Regions from separate parts of the Mus musculus genome. Here region 2 is reported to be linked to region 1. Evidence: microRNA targets listed by miRTarBase, many of them from high-throughput screens and not tested one by one. Region 1 holds a microRNA gene; the other region holds the end of a gene's coding sequence.

Region 1 (7,910 bases):
CAAGCCCACCTCCACACCCCCCAGCATACCAAGATTCCCCCCAGACAGACTCGTGGTGGAAGAGACCTAACATAATCAGAAAGAGACACATGTACCCACACTGAGGGCCAGAGCCAGAGAGAACAGAGCGAGGCCACTTAGATTCCCGTCCAAGGAAGGAAGGACAGATAATCACACAGGCAGACTCACAGACAGAGAGAGACAGAGACAGAGACAAGAAATGTGGGCAGTGGGACTACAGATTATGGCCAGTCCATCTTGCAGCCCTCTCCATCCTCTCTTACCTTATAAGCCTGTGCCTCCTCCTCCTCCAGCCCGGAACAGCTGTACCCAGGGCTCTCTGCTTGCTGCCCCAGCTTAGGCAGCCCGGTCTCTGTTGCTTCAGGATCAGTATTTCCGACAGGTCCAGGGCTATGAGCTCCCTCAGGCTTGGAACTCTCTTCAAACCTCAATCCTTTAACCTGCAGAGCTGTCGGAGTACCAGCAATGCTTGGAGATGCATCTCCAGGTTTGCACCCCTGGCCCTGAGTCCAGTGCTGCCAGGCAGGCAGTGCCCATGGCTCCATGGCTCCAAGGTCTCCAAGCCGTGGGAGGGTTGTCAGTTGCTCCATGGTTTCGGCAAGGGGCCCCCGAACCTGGACCTGGGGACATCACCAGCGGGAAGACTGACAAGGGTCATGCCAGACTAGACCATTCTCCCTGTAAGTGTTTGGCTTCACCGAGTCCATCAGAGGTTGGCTGAGCTCTTCCCACCCACGAAGGAGGGTTCAGAAGGTATCGGGGTTGCCAGACTGGAGCTGGGGTTTGCTCATGGTTCTCTCTCTCTCTCTTGTGTGTGTGTGTGTGTGTGTACGGGGTGTGTGTGGGGGGGTGAGAGACCACCACCAGGAGTGCCTGGCTGAAGGTATATATGTACGTGTGCCTCCAGGTCTGTCCCTGCAGGTCAGTGATGTTTTATTATGTGATTGGAGGATGAATACTCCGACTTGTGTATGTTGAGAAGGGTGGTGCTATGTGTCACTGTCTGTGCCTATTTAAGAGTTACCAGTTGTTTCTGCGTGGGGGTAGGGGCTGTCTGTATTGCAGGGCTGTGGCAGTGTGTGATGCTGTCGCCGGTCCTGTCTCAGTGTTGTAAAGCCCGGTGTATCTGTAGTGGCGTGTGTCTTTCAGTGTCTGTGAGTCTGGCCACCCATCACGACCACTCTGCCTGGAAAGGGTCCGCAGGAGTTCCTGGGAATGATCCCCAGTGATCCACTGTGGTCCTTTATCTCCAGCTTTTCTCTCCGCTGGCTGCCGCCGATCAGTTGCTTGCTGGGTGGCTGGGCGGTCCTAAGGAGGCCTGGGTCGATGGGCGGCTTGCCTCATAGTCTCTGCCTCAGCTAGTCTCAGCTCGAGGGACTGCAAGGGTCCCTCGCGGTCCCGGAGCTCCCCAAATGAGATGGTGGGCACGAAGGAGGGCAGAGCCTCAGAATGGGGAGTGGGGAGCAGGGGAGCATCATCATCCCTCCCTTCCCCCTCCTCCTCCCCTCCTGCCCACCAATAGGAAGTCAGCTGCTGGTTTCCATGACGATGGAGCTGGACTGGTGGGCTGGACCGGCAGGCAAGCTGGCAGGGTCGGGACAGTGGAAAGAGCAGGTTCCTTACTGGATGGTAGGTTAGAAAGCTACCCCCTCCGGACCCCCCAACATGGCCTCTTCATCCCCTTGACCCCACAGACCCTCACTTCCAGGGTGCAGAGGAAAGGGAGTAGAGACAGTCCTCTCCTTTCAGGCAAGACTGATGGGGATAGAACAATGTGACAGAGACCTAGCTGTAGAAAAGGACAGAGCTGAAATGGTGGGATTTGGAATAAAACAAAGAAATAAAAGTCTGAAAATAGAAAGACGAGCAAAAGGACAGAGTGTTGAAATAGGCTGAAAAACGACTTCAGCTTCCCCATGGCAGATCACATTTGGGGGACAGCCCAGCCTTCACAGGCTAGCAGGAGAGATCATAAGACAGGACCTTTTGGGCTGATTTTCCCTCAACCATCAGGAAGTTCATCTTCTGTCTAGCATTAGGCTTTATTTATTTACTTGCTATGAAAAAAAAATGGCTTTTGGGAACAAGGACATAGGAATTGCCCCAACCTAGGTGTCTGCCTGTATGTGGGGCACCTAGATCTCGAGAGATAAGAATGTTGCTCCTAGACGCAAGACAAGCCAAGGTCGAGGGCCCTCATGTGGCACCCCTATGGAATAGCAGCTAAAGCATAGAGAACACCCCCCACCCAGACAGTAGGCTCCACCCAGGCCAGAGCCAATGGAACTGGGTAGGGGTTGGAGTTGCATAAGAGAGAAGGTAACATTCATTTCTCTAAAGCAGTCTAAACATCAGTACACATGCTATGTCATGTAACTTTCAGTCAGCATGCATATGCATGTCATATTACATGTATGTATAGAAGAGTATGCATAGTATGTCTGTGTATACATGGAGATCACTGCATGTATGTGTGCTATTTTGTCTATGAATCTCATTGGATATATATCTGTGCATGGTTTTGTGTCATTGTATGTCTATTTGCTACAATGTCTATGTGCATGCAATTACGTATGAGTTTATCATTGCATTTTGCTATAAATCACAGATATCATGCCATTATACAGCACTAACACATTATGACATACATTGTCATATAATAATGTACAATGGCATACAATGATCTATGTACATGATAAACTTGCCTGGCATGATGTGCACGCAGTCTCTGTATATATATTCTCACCCCTCCATGCCTAAGGGGACTGTCTATAAGATCATCTCAGGATACCCCACTAAGTTCTCAAATGCTTAAGTCCTTTTATGTAAGGTGATGAAATATCCGCCCATGGCTTATACACATCCTTCTGTATACCCAAGGTCTCTTGCATGCTAGGCAAGCACTCTACCACTAAACCATATCCTCAGCCCAGCCCCACCCCACCCCCATGCCTTAAATCATCTCTAGATTGTTTATACCTATTTTATAATACGATGTGAATGTTAAAATAATTGTACTGTACTATTGAGGAAATCACAAGAATAACAAGCAAAGTCTATACATTATAAAGAGACAGCTTCCTCTCTGGTAAGAGTCTTAGCTCAAGCTGGTCCTTCCTCTTCCAGTTGCTGGGGTTGTAATTACATCTACAATTGGCTTGCAATCAAAAACACATTTTGTTTTTCAATCCTAGTCAATAGGATGGCTCTGTGGGTAGGACATTTGCCACCAAGCCTGACCACTGGAGTTTGATCCCCAGTAACCACGTGGCCAAAGTGGAGAACTCCTCCACGCAAGGTGTTCTCTGGCCCTAAATGCACACCACAGTACATTGGTACACTCACCAGCATTCACACACACACACAAATTAAATGTTTTTCAATTCATCAATGTGGCAATCCAGAGAGATCTTGATGATCTCGCGGTTAGTGTCTTATGTACATGAAGCCACCACATGTGAATGTCACTAATGGGTATATTCTTTGGCATTATATGTGTAAGTACTAATGAACATGTGTTTGGCCTAGGTGACTGTATACCCATATGATACACCAGCCACGTCTCATTGTCTATATGTCACAGTTCATGCATGTGGCTGGCATCGGTGTATAGGCCCTGATGAAATGCACATGATGGTGAAAGTGTGTTTTATTAACACCAATGACCTGTGTAGACATGTACAAGGCAGGTGGGCACACACTGTGCTAGCGTGGTTTTGCCCAACTCTTACACTAATAAGAATCCTCTTGGAGCCAGGCAGTGATGGCACACACCTTTAATCCCAGCACTTGGGAGGCAGAGGCAGGCAGATTTCTGAGTTTGAGCCAGTCTGGTCCGGAGTGAGTTCCAGGACAGCCAGGGCTACACAGAGGAACCCTGTCTCAAAAAATTAAAGGAGAGAGAGAGAGAGAGAGAGAGAGAGAGAGAGAGAGAGAGAGAGAGAGAGAGAGAGAGAGAGAGAGAGAGAAGAAAGAAAGGAGGAAGGAAAGGAAAGAAAGATCCTCTTGGGCTGGTGAGATGGCTCAGTGGTCAAGAACACTAACTGCTCTTCCAAAGGTCCTGAGTTCAAATCCCAGCAACCACATGGTGGCTCACAACCATCTGTAATGAGATCTGATGGCCTCTTCTTGTGAGTCTGAACACAGTTACAGTGTACTTAGATATAATAAAATCTCTTTTAAAAAAAAGTTCCTCTAGACCAATGGTTCTCAAGCTATGGGCTGCAATCCCTTGGGAGGCAGACAACCCTTTTACAGGGCCACTCAAGACCATCAGAAAACACAGATATTTACATTACAATTCATTACAGTTGCACAATTATACATATGAAGTAGCAACGGAAATAATTTTATGGTTGGGGGGTCACGACAACCATGAGGAATTGTGTTAAAGGGTCGCAGAGTCAGGAAGGTTGAGAACCACGGCTCTATAGACTTTCTTAGATCAAAACGAGAGGCAAACAGTCTTCATTTTGGAGGTATAGAGAGTAAAAGGAAGCTAGCATAGAAATTAGAGCCAAAGGTAGAGGTCATCTCATACCCTTTCTTCACGTTGCTACAAAGTCTACTTCCGGTGGCCCAAGCCTTCCCACCCCCAGGCTGTGTCTTAGTCAGGCCAAGGTCTTCTGCTCATGTCAGCGAAGCCTGTCTTTCTGCGTCAGTTCTGTTCCCGGGCATCCGGGGAACTCACACAACCCCAATAACAGAGTCAGACAAAAGCGAAACCAGTCCATTCTTTATTAGTGTTGAGGGCCCCGTGACCCTTACCCATCCATCCGGCTCCCTTCTCGAACCCCCAGTCGGCCTGCGATGCAGGACCAAGGCCCCACACATCCGGCCCCACCCCATATCCTCACGGACGTGCATTCGAGAGAGCGGCTGTGGTGTCTCCCCAAGTATCAGGGGTCAGGAAGCACCGTGCTTTGGGGGAGCCATGAAGGTCTTTCGGGGAGCCTGGCCAAATGAGGGCGTGTGAGAGATGCTCACCTGTTTCCTTGATGTTGGAGTGGAGGACGGTGGCAGGGGGCCGCGGCGTGGCGTGGTCTCCGAAGCCCACAGTGCACTCATCCATAAAGTAGGAAACACTACACCCTCCAGTGCTGTTAGTAGTGCTTTCTACTTTATGGGTGACTGCACTGTCTGTCTGTCCACGGGGATTCTTCAGGCCACCTGCTTTTCTTGCCGACTCCTGCTTTAATAAAGGCCCCTGCCCCCTCCCCTCCGTGTAACTTCCCAGGGACCGCTCCACCCTGCCTGTGGCCCCCTAGAGGGCCCGCCCTGGGCCTTGTGGGTGGTGACTCAACATGGCGCCAGATGAGCCTCTTCTTCCCCCGCCCAACTTCCTCTTTGTAACCTTCTTCCCTCCACTCCCCACCCCCTCCGGGTTTCCACCCTATTCTCTCCCTTCTCGGGGACACTCAGGTAAAGACCACAGCCACTCCAGAAGGCTCATCCCCATCTTTAGAACTGCAACATCCTGGGTGGTGCTTCCCAGCCGTATGACCCACAGTCTTGAATCCAACGGAGGCAGCCATGGCCTCCTCCCATAAAGGCCTCGGTCCCCAGCCTTCCCATTAGACAAAGGCCTCCACTCCCACACGCCTCTGTCTCTAGTCTCCCCATTGGAACAAGGCCCCTGACTCCCTCATTCCTGCTCCTCAAGCTGGAATCCAAGTGTGTTGGCAGAAATGGCGGCCATGTTGCGTGGAAAAAATGCCTGGGCACCACTTGCCGATACCAGTCTCACTGTTTCAGCCCACTCTCCCACTCTCGCAACTCCTCCCTACTCTCTGGCCCTCCTCCCTAAGAGCTAGAGACTGTTATTTTCGAGAGGGGGGCTCAGAAGCCAATTTTTCCTTTTTTTTTTTTTTTTTTTTTTTTTTGGTTTTTCGAGACAGGGTTTCTCTGTATAGCCCAAGCTGTCCTAGAACTCACTTTGTAGACCAAGCTGGCCTCGAACTCAGAAATCCATCTGTCTCTGCCTCCCGAGTGCAGGGATTAAAGGTGTTCGCCACCACCGCCCGGCTAATTTTTCCTTTTTTAATTCTGTAGATTTAAAAGATGGGGTTGGGGATTTAGCTCAATGGTAAGCGCAAAGCCCTGGGTTCGGTTCCCAGCTTCCCCCAAAAAACAAACAAACAAACAAAAAACAAAAAACCCAAGAAGATTTAAAAGATTGTAAAAGCTGTCCCCAGTGAAGGCTAGTGGATCCAAGAGTCATTGCTCCTAAGCCTAAAACTTTGTTAGGGAGCTCTGGCACCCAGCCCCTCCTGCTGTCCGGAACCTCCACTTAGAACCTGCACCCCAAGCTCTTCTCTGAGCCTTGGGCCCAGAATTAAAGAGCCCTGGTTGAGGCCAGAGTGAAGATTTAGGTCTTACCTGATGCTGCAGAGCTGAGAAGAGCTGGATCCAAAGTGGGGTTCCCTTCAGGGTGGGTAGGGCTTATAACCCCGAGGCCACGTGGGTCGGATCTCAGGGCGCCCAACGGTCTTGGAGCCCGCCTCCACAACGCATCAGAGATTAGCCACCCCTCCCCTCCCTGGGGAGTGCAGACTGACAGGAAACCAGCGACAAGGCTGGGTATTGGCGGGAGGGGGGCGGGGTGGGGGGGACTGAAGAGGCCATCTCACATGCCCTGGGCAGGTGGCTTCCTGGCTCCCAGGCTTGCCCTTCCCCAATGGCTCCAGCCACAGGAGATGATTCAAGAGTTGACACTGACTCGTTGGAAGTGACCCCAGGAGACAACAGTTCCCTGCTAGGGCCTTCAGTGAGCACCCAGAAAAAAAAAAAAATCCTGAATCCCAACACTAAAAAAGTACGTTTCCCTGAGCCCCACCCCCACCGATGGGCCTTTCCTCAGGTCACTGCCACCAAGCAAAGCAGGGTTGCTCTGTATGTTCTTCTGAGAGGCTGTGGAAGGTGCAGAGGCATGAAGGGGAGTTGGAACCCATACACCAACATCGTTCTTAGGTTCAGTGTCCTCAACATCTCTGAAAGCCACCACTTTCCCCAGGGGAGCCTCGCTGATCAGGTGACACACACTATAGGGGTGTGGGTCACAACTGGATTGGGTCTTCATGCTGTTTTGGGGGCCCACAAGGATGCAAGAACAAAGAACGTCAGGATAATGGCCCTGGGGTAGAGCATAGGTACCTAGGAGTCTTTGGGGGAGGGGAGGAAAAAGGCTCTGACAGGAGGTTCTCTTGGCCACCGGATGTGGGCAGGGTCCCGCCCACCTGCATGTCAACCCCCACTTTCCCCATGGGGAAGACAGGAAACTGCTCAGCCTAGGCCTGTAGTTGGGGGATGGGAGCAAGGTGGGAGTCTGAGCAGGAGTTTAGGGGGGCTGAGTATGAGCCCCCACATATTAACCCCGGCTTCCCCAAGGCTCTCAGTGAGCTAGGCTCTGGGGTCAAGAATGGTCTTGAGGGGCAGTTAGAGGAGGCAGGAGGAGTAGGAAGAACCATTAATATCTCCTTTGGGAAAGCCATGAGTGTCTGGCCACAGATCCACACTGGCTTCAGGGACTACAGATTCAAGGCCAGAAGGGAACTAGAGGAGGGTCAGACAGAGAAAAGAAGACTGCGCCACGTGCTTTCCTTCCTTCTGAGAGGTGCTGCCAACCTGGAAAAGAGTGTGTCTGTTCCAGTACCCTCAAGTGAGAGTAGGAAAGGAAGAGCCTGACCCTTCACCCCTAAGGTCTAGAGGAACAGTGGTGAACAGTCTTGCAAGGCTAGCTGGCCAAAAATAGGTCAGTGTTCCTTTAAGAGACCACCACCAGGCCTCAGACCTGGGTGGAGGGGAAGTGGCTGCCCCAGGAGATAAAGAGGATAAGAATATCAAAGTTGTGCAGTAACCTGGGTTTCTGGACCCCTATCCTTTGGGGCTTA
Region 2 (7,910 bases), not on the chromosome of region 1:
TCCTGAGATAGGGGAAGAGGGCACAGGAAGAGGTTCCCATGCAGGTGAGTGTCCTAAGTCTGGTCTGTGACTGGAGCACAGGAAGGCCTTCTGATGGGAGGTTAGAAACAGCTTGTTAGAAGAAAGCCTATCCCATTGTATCCTATCCAAGTACAATGGGCCTTTATTGTAGAAAGGGGGGGGGGAGAAAAGGGGTGGGAGAGAGAGAGAGAGAGAGAGCTTAGAGAGTAAGGAAAGTAAAAGCTTAAGAGAGTAAGAAAAAGTAAAAGGGAAAGAGCAAGGTGGGGCCAAGCAGCCCCTCTTATAGTGGGCTTGTTATTTTGCTGTTGCTAGGTAACTGGGAGGCATCTAGCCTGAAGGTCAGAAGCTTGGGACATTTTTTAAATGACTGCTAGCCACGAGCCTCTCCTGTGGGTCCTGTGGGGGCAATAACTTCGACAGGAGCCAGGGGTTTAGGAGACATGAGGGAATGCCTTCTGTCCCTTGTAGGTGAAAATTACCACCATCAGGTTTCACCGGGGTTCACGACCTCAACTTGACCGGAGACCAGCCTGTCTGTGCATAGCCCGTTGCCCCACAGGGGAGCATCCTCATAGAAGCATGGGAGATGGAATAGGGGGTTTTCAGAGGGGAAACCGGGAAGGGGGTAACATTTGAAATATAAATAACAGTGCTAATAGCTATACTGAAGATCATATTTACCATTTTTTGCTAAGGACCTAGACACCCTCTCCTCCCAGATGCATGCTGTCTCTGATTATCACGGAGTTATTGACCTTGGTATAGAGAACATTCCCCAAAGGAGGAGCATAAAGTTAAATATATTTAAATATAAATAATATATGTGAGAACTCTGCTTAGTTGGGAGTCAGAGTGAACAAAGGTAATTACCACTTAGTGTTGCTGATACTGTAATAAAATGAGTGCTTTGGAGAATAAGCAGCAAAAGATGAACTCTGTGTGGACTCCTAATGTTTTGCCATTAGGAGTGAAAAAAATACTGGAATCACAGAAGTTCCAGAGGGAATCCAACTCTAGAACAATTGTGTAAAAACACAAAGCATATTCAGGAATAAGTTAAGTTTGTTTTAATCAGTCTGTTTGAGAGCTTTATGGGTTTTTAATTGAATATTTTATGTATTTACATTTCAAATGTTATCCCCTTTCCCAGTTTCTCCTCTGCAAACCCCCATCCCCTTCCCCCTACTTCTATGAAGGTACGACCGCCCCCCCCCACCCATTCCTGCCTGACTGCCCTAATATTCTCCTTCACTGAGACATCAAACCTTCACAGGACCAAGGGCCTCCCCTCCCATTGATGCCAGCTGAAGCCATGGGTCCCTCCATGTGTACTCTTTGTTTGGTGGTTTAGTCCCTGGGAGCCCTGGGGGTTCTGTTCTTCCTATTGGGTTGCAAACCCTTCTATCTCCTTCATTTCCACTAACTCCTCCATTGAGGTCCCTGTGCTCAGTCCGATGGTGAGCATCTCATCTGTGTTGATCAGGCTCCTGTCAGCAAGCACTTCCTGACATCAGCAATAGTGTCTGAGTTTGGTGTCTGCATATGGGATGGATCCCCAGGTAGGGCAGTCTCTGGAGCAATTCTGGGTTAAAATTTTGGAGATGAGTGGATGGCCCCATCCCTCAACTGGGGCTGTGCCTAACCTCGGGATATGGTCTCTCTACAGGTTCTCCTTCCCCTTTGTTGGGTATTTCAGCTAATGTCATCATCCCTGTTGGGTCCTGGGAACCTCTTGCTTTTCTGGCATCTGGGACTTTATAGTATGAGAAGAAATATATAGCATAAAGGTAGTTGAGATTGAGTCATTTGGAACCAGGTTTTAAAACAGCCTGATAGAACTAAGGCATACACATCCTTCTCCTTGAAGCATAAAAAAATTATTAGCCGTTTTAAAGCAAGCACGCATTATGATTCCGTTTGTATAGAAGTGATTCTGTTTGGATGATGGGAATACAGTCACATAGGAAGCTGAATCTTCTAAAAAGCCTAGGAAGGAAAGAGAACAAGGGAATCCAAAGAACCCTTCAGACCTTCAGGGCTGCACCTTCTAATGGTTGGGGACTGGAAGTGTAAGAGAAAGAAGGCCTGTGGCTTTGTTGACCAAAACCCCTCCAGGCTTCCTCACACATAGACTTACACATGCCCTTAGACAGTACAGATCATCTTTTCGGTTCTCTTTCTGATAACCTTTTTATGATACAAATTCCAACTTGTTGCCTTTTTTTTTTAATAGCTTTATTAGAGTCATTTCTTTGTTCTCTGTGGCTGATTTCACTTCACAGTGGTAAAGTTAGGTAGGCTCAGTAGAAACTGTGTCATTTACAAGATGATGTCCTGTAGCCTGTGACAGAAAAGTTTACTGATCTCTAGTTTAGTTCTTGCTGATAGAAAGGAGGGGAAGACTTGTGTATAGTATTTTCCTAGGACTCTATGTGTTTGGAGAAGTCTCTTTACTAATAAATAATTGAAAGCTTTCTGAAACTTTGGGTTGTTTTTACTAGTTGTTACTTTTAGTGACTATGATTCAAAAAAATTATAATTAAGTAAAGCTCTTTGTAGATAGAAATTTAATTCACTGTCGAAAGTCATAATAAAATGGTGTAATATTAAAATATTGCCCTTGCTAAGCTAGCTGCAGAATTTAAGAACCTGTTAGAGAGCTGATTATTCTTTATTATTTAACAAAAATTCTAAAGCAATATAAAGATAAGGCTGGAGCTTAAGGAAGCTAGAAGACTAATGGAGCCAGAAATTTCGGGCCTTTCTGCTCAGTCATCCCGTGAGGAGAATGAGTGCTGCTGGTACTCGGATAAAGCCTAGACCCACTGCAGATTACACACCACTGAATGGAGAGCCACCCTCCATGGTCCCACTTAAAAGTGTTTTGTGGGGGTTGAGTACTAAGTAACTTAAAAGCTCTCAACAGCTAACTTGAATGAGAAGTTGTAAGTGTCCCCTTTTAAAATTCCTTTCTTTCCTCCAGGCTATCCTACCTACAAAGAAAAAGTAAAGAAAAGGCCAGGGGGCCGTCCAGAAGTCATTTACAATTATGTCCAAAGACCCTTCATTCGAATGTCCTGGGAGAAGGAGGAAGGAAAGAGTCGGCATGTAGACTTTCAGTGTGTAAAGAGTAAATCCATTACCAATCTGGCAGCAGCTGCTGCAGACATTCCCCAGGACCAGCTAGTAGTCATGCACCCTACTCCACAGGTGGACGAGCTGGATATCCTTCCCAGCCACCCTGCCTCGGGCAACAATGACCTCGATCCTGATGCACAGAATCCAATGCTGTGATGCTGATGTTCCTGAAACCATAGCATGCTACTCTTCACAGTGACGTCGTACTCCTCCTTCTGCACTGCGAGGCCACTTTTCTTCATTGTGAGATGCACATGTTTAGGATACTGCAGTGTAGGCTTTTTTAAAGACCAAAGGTAGCTGAATGGTTTTTTAATGAGTACAACTTTAGCATCCTCGTTCGAGTTCTATAAATGTATTTGTTTACCAGTAGGTTTGTGAAATTGGTTCTTTGTATGGGGACAGTCCTTTTTCACATATCTAGGTTTTCTCAGAAGTGGTGGGAATTTGGCAGCTGGGGTACTTTAAGTGTAGATTGATATTTATCTTGCCTCAGGTAAGATGAATATTACAAAGTTGCACTTTATAGATGGTGGTTAAATGGAGCTGTTGAAGCCATTTTAGAGCTGTGATGCACAGTATAACATAAGTGCTTCTATCAGAGTATTCCTCAGTACAGTATGTATAGTTGGCCCACATCAAGCAAAAACATATTTATCTTGGGTTTATTTAAACAATTAGGATAAAATTTGATGCTTATAGTGTTGGTTCACTCATCTCCAGAGCCCTGCAGCCCTATTAGAGTGAGTCACATGCAGGGAGGGTGAACGTCAAGAGGTGGTTTACTGTCCAGTCTGCCTTATCCTTAATCTGTTCATATATTTATTTACTAATGCTTTTTTCTTAAGAGTTATGGGATAGAAAAACAAACTGTTTGCTCTTCATTTACTAAATGATTGTAAACTCGAGTTTTTCATCAAAATAAAATTTCATTGTTTTAATGTTTCTGACCAACTTTATGAACACCTTGGCTAGATTCTGTGTCATATATGTTATGTATAACTAGAAATCAAATGACAGTTTTTTTTTTTTTTTTTTTTTTTTTTTTTGGTTTTTCGAGACAGGGTTTCTCTGTATAGCCCTGGCTGTCCTGGAGCTCACTTTGTAGACCAGGCTGGCCTCGAACTCAGAAATACGCCTGCCTCTGCCTCCCGAGTGCTGGGATTAAAGGCGTGCGCCACCACGCCCGGCTCAAATGACAGTTTTAAAAGCGCTTTGGTATATTTGCAAGAGGCACTTAGATTTCCTATAAGTTCAGGAAAAATGCTATAAATCCAAAGCAGTTGATCAAGATTTTCAGGATATGAAAATGGAATGACGCCTGTATTAGGAACCCTAACTTTCAGAACTAGTTTCTAATTAATTCAATATTCTTTCCATCAAATACTCTAAATATTTCATGGTTTACAACAAAGATTCATATTTTAAGTGCTTTGGGTCTTAGATCACTTAACTCTTTGTAGCCATACAAATAGTCCAGGACTGCCCTCTGAGCCACAGAATTGCCATCTTGGAGTGCTCAGCTGTGCCTGTTTGCAAAAGAACACTCGATAGGCTTTTTGACTGTTTATATCCCCCCAAGGAGATGTGGAGACAATCACAAGACCTTCCTCACCTGCGTGTCCAGCTGTTCCGCCTCCAGTTCTATACAACTCTGCCTTTAACTGGGCATGGCCTTGGAGGGAATAAGAATATATAAGGCTGGGGAAGATGAGGAAAAGGTTAAGGCTCCATCTGGATGCCTATGGGAAACCTGTTTTCTCAGCTGGGTAAAGGCTTTCTTTTTTTTTTTTTTTTTTAATTTATTATTAAATGTAAGTACACTGTAGCTGTCTTCAGACACACCAGAAGAGGGCACCAGATCTCATTACGGATGGTTGTGAGCCTCCATGTGGTTGCTGGGATTTGAATTCAGGACCTTCAGAAGAGCAGTCAGTGCTCTTAACTGCTGAGCCATCTCTCCAGCCCCAGTAAAGGCTTTCTAGTGTGGCCTTTGAGTAGGAGCATACCTGTAGGGAACCTCTCGCCTGTGTCTGTATGGAAGCCCAGTAAACCAACCCATTGGTTTCCAGAGTGAACTTTAGTTTGGTGGGATCACATCTCAGTTTGTCGATGGGACCATAGAAAGAGAGCAGATGCCGTCGCTTACATCTACCCCTGGTAGACTTGAGCACACCATGTAACTGCAGGTCTAGAGAAGCCAGCTTGTAATCTTGAAATCTAAGCACTGGAAATTGGAGTTGATATCTTTGTTTTCATATAAGTTGAGGTGGCTACAGTTTGGAAGTGAGCTATTTTTATAATATGTCTAAGCTGGTAGCATGGAAGAAGTCATTATAAGAGCAAAAGGACATTGTAAACATAACAGCAGGAATGTGTTTAGACCGCTGGTGAAGTGGATGAACCAGCCCTGTAGCATATGAAGATTTTCTTCCTAATTATCAATTGGGAACAGTACTTATAGAACAAGGGAAACATTTATTAAAAATATTTAACTGTCTAATACATTATACTTTAACCCATATTTATAGTAAAGGATTCTTACAAGGAAGAATAAACAGCTTTATGATACAATTAGTATAAGAAATATCCACATGGGGGACTTCTTTGTAGTGTAAAAACACCATACATCTGAAATGACCATTTTGCATATAAAAGCTACCAATGATGCTTCTGTGCACAATGATTAAAAAATTCAACACAAACAAAATCCAAAATATACAATTAATGCAAGCTATCCACAGCTAGCCCAAACTCAATGATGAGGAAACACTGGAGCAGGTTTAGTTCCACTTTGTCTGAAGTTACACATGGTAGATTGACTTGTATCAATGGCTCTGAGGTGGCTTTTATGGAGTCAGTACATAAAAGCTGTTCTCTCTCTATCCAGTAAGCTTCACAGACTGTAAAACTTCACCATTAATGCACTTTGATACTGCAGCTGTTGCCAAAGCAAATGTAGTGTCTACAGCGGCCATGGCAAGTCACTAAAGTCAACGGGGCCACCCAGCCCCGCATCTGCTTCCAAGAGGCTCATGATGACAGCCATTGCTGCCTCATCGTTACTGGGACTACTTGATCCTTGGTCGTTATCTATCATATCGATGCCTATGTGGGGGTTCTCACCTGTGGAAGGAAGAAAGGACTGTCAGTAAGGAATAACAAAGCATACTTATATTTGGAAAGCAACTTCTCAACACACCAATAAGGACGTTTATTTAACAAGAGCAAGGGGTTATTTGGGGGATTCCATTGCCATAACTTTTCATTGTTACTACCCTTTCAGAAAGAACATCTAAAAATTAAGGTCAAAAATCCTTAAAATGCAATAATAATTTGAGTTGAACCCATTTTAGTATTTTGGTAACGAGTTAGTCAAGAGTTGGTTCTAGAAACAATGGCAACTAAAAGCAGATTGAGAAGGGGCTGGGTGCGCTGGAGTCACTGGGGAACTCAGTGCCTCTGCAGCTGTATGGGCTCTCCCTCGGAAAAACTGCACTATGTGGGAGAAAACCTATGCCTGGGCGGCTCTAGATGCACATGGGTCCCTGGAGTATTTAAACAGTTCACACATCCACTTTGTTATCCACTGCTTCAAAACTAGCTTGTGTAATCAGTTCTTAAACCCTCTTTGTAGAAGATATTTTGCAAACTACTCACTCATGGAGGTGAATGATAACACACTTACCAAGAATAGAAGAACTATCAGAATAGGGATACCCTGGGGTCTCCTGAGCCTGCCCTGGTAATAGTCCAGTGGAAGGAATGTCTGGAGTCCCTCCATTTAGAATCTGCAAATAAAAGGGGACAAAGTAAAGTTTCCCACTCAAATAGAAAATTACTATCATATGCACTGTAACTTAAGAAGACGAAAGGTGTTGGGTGGGGGGATTTCAAATGGGTTCAATTTCCTATTTTTTCCCCCTATCAAGCAAGGACCTGTTAGAACAGTCATAATGAGGGGGAACAGCCTCCTCTATAAACTGTTTTCTCTACATAGTATATTTTCTCTACACAGTACATGAAGATATCAAAAGCTGGGTAAATCAGCTAGCTAGGATCACAGCACCCATGTATTTATTTAAAGCCAAGGCTTAAACATCACTGATCCCAGTGTAAGGCAGTGAGTGACACATGCCAACAGATAACTGCTGAAGTAATTGAGGTCAGTAATAATTTGTGAAGAGAAACAACTAGGACAAGAAAACACTTAAGTACTCAGAAATCCACCTGCCTCTGCCTCCCAAGTACTGGGATTAAAGGCATGCGCTACCACTATACAGACAAACCCTGACTTGAAAAACGAGGAAAAAAAAGCATTTAAGTAAATCTTTGATCATCATTTGATCATCAGGTATACCAGAGGCACTAAATTAAGTAACCTGATTTTCTCTTCCTAAGATGTGATCATTGCTATCATTCCTCTATAGGAGAAGTTGAACTGTCTTAAAGTCCCATTCCCACCCCCACCAGAAACACTCTGACCTGGACTGCCAAGCTTCCCTGCCCTGGGCTAAGCTTCAGAAACAGCCTTGGAGAGGTAGACAGAGTTAGGAAACAATGGCTGCTGGGTTTCAGAAACACCAATTTCAGACCTTGCCAGCAGATGGCACTGCAACTTGGTTCTTTACAGTTCAGTTGTACAATATGGGGATCCCTGTACATTCATAAAAATGACTGTTGCTCTCCCCGCCCCCGAAATGTTTTAGGTAGGGTTCATTCATATAAATAACATGATTTTTGAAACATAA

What was found. The annotated mature microRNA mmu-miR-142a-3p reads UGUAGUGUUUCCUACUUUAUGGA and lies in region 1 at 5,088-5,110, opposite strand. An mRNA with a match to its seed (bases 2 to 7 or 8) in the 3' UTR can be bound and repressed. Matches are read on the target gene's strand: a 7mer-m8 pairs with bases 2 to 8, a 7mer-A1 pairs with bases 2 to 7 and ends in A, and an 8mer does both.
Region 2: the mRNA of Arntl is a reported target of mmu-miR-142a-3p. Seed matches in the 3' UTR shown: 8mer at 6,117-6,124 and 8mer at 5,768-5,775.

What each region holds. Positions count from the first base shown.
Region 1 is chr11:87,754,103-87,762,012 of GRCm38, reverse strand. Mir142 (microRNA 142) reads right to left here and starts at 5,149; the gene lies at 5,086-5,149. It overlaps Mir142b (microRNA 142b), which reads left to right and starts at 5,058; the gene lies at 5,058-5,172. Tspoap1 (TSPO associated protein 1) reads right to left here and starts at 1,472. Exons shown (of 32, transcript NM_172449.2): 1 at 285-1,472. The coding sequence starts at 611.
Region 2 is chr7:113,311,834-113,319,743 of GRCm38, reverse strand. It overlaps Arntl (aryl hydrocarbon receptor nuclear translocator-like), which reads right to left. Exons shown (of 20, transcript NM_007489.4): 19 at 6,848-6,950; 20 at 5,618-6,285. The coding sequence ends at 6,125. Btbd10 (BTB (POZ) domain containing 10) reads left to right here. Exons shown (of 11, transcript NM_133700.2): 11 at 3,005-4,100. The coding sequence ends at 3,315. Among named protein-coding and RNA genes, the nearest start is that of Btbd10, 54 kb to the left of the region's middle.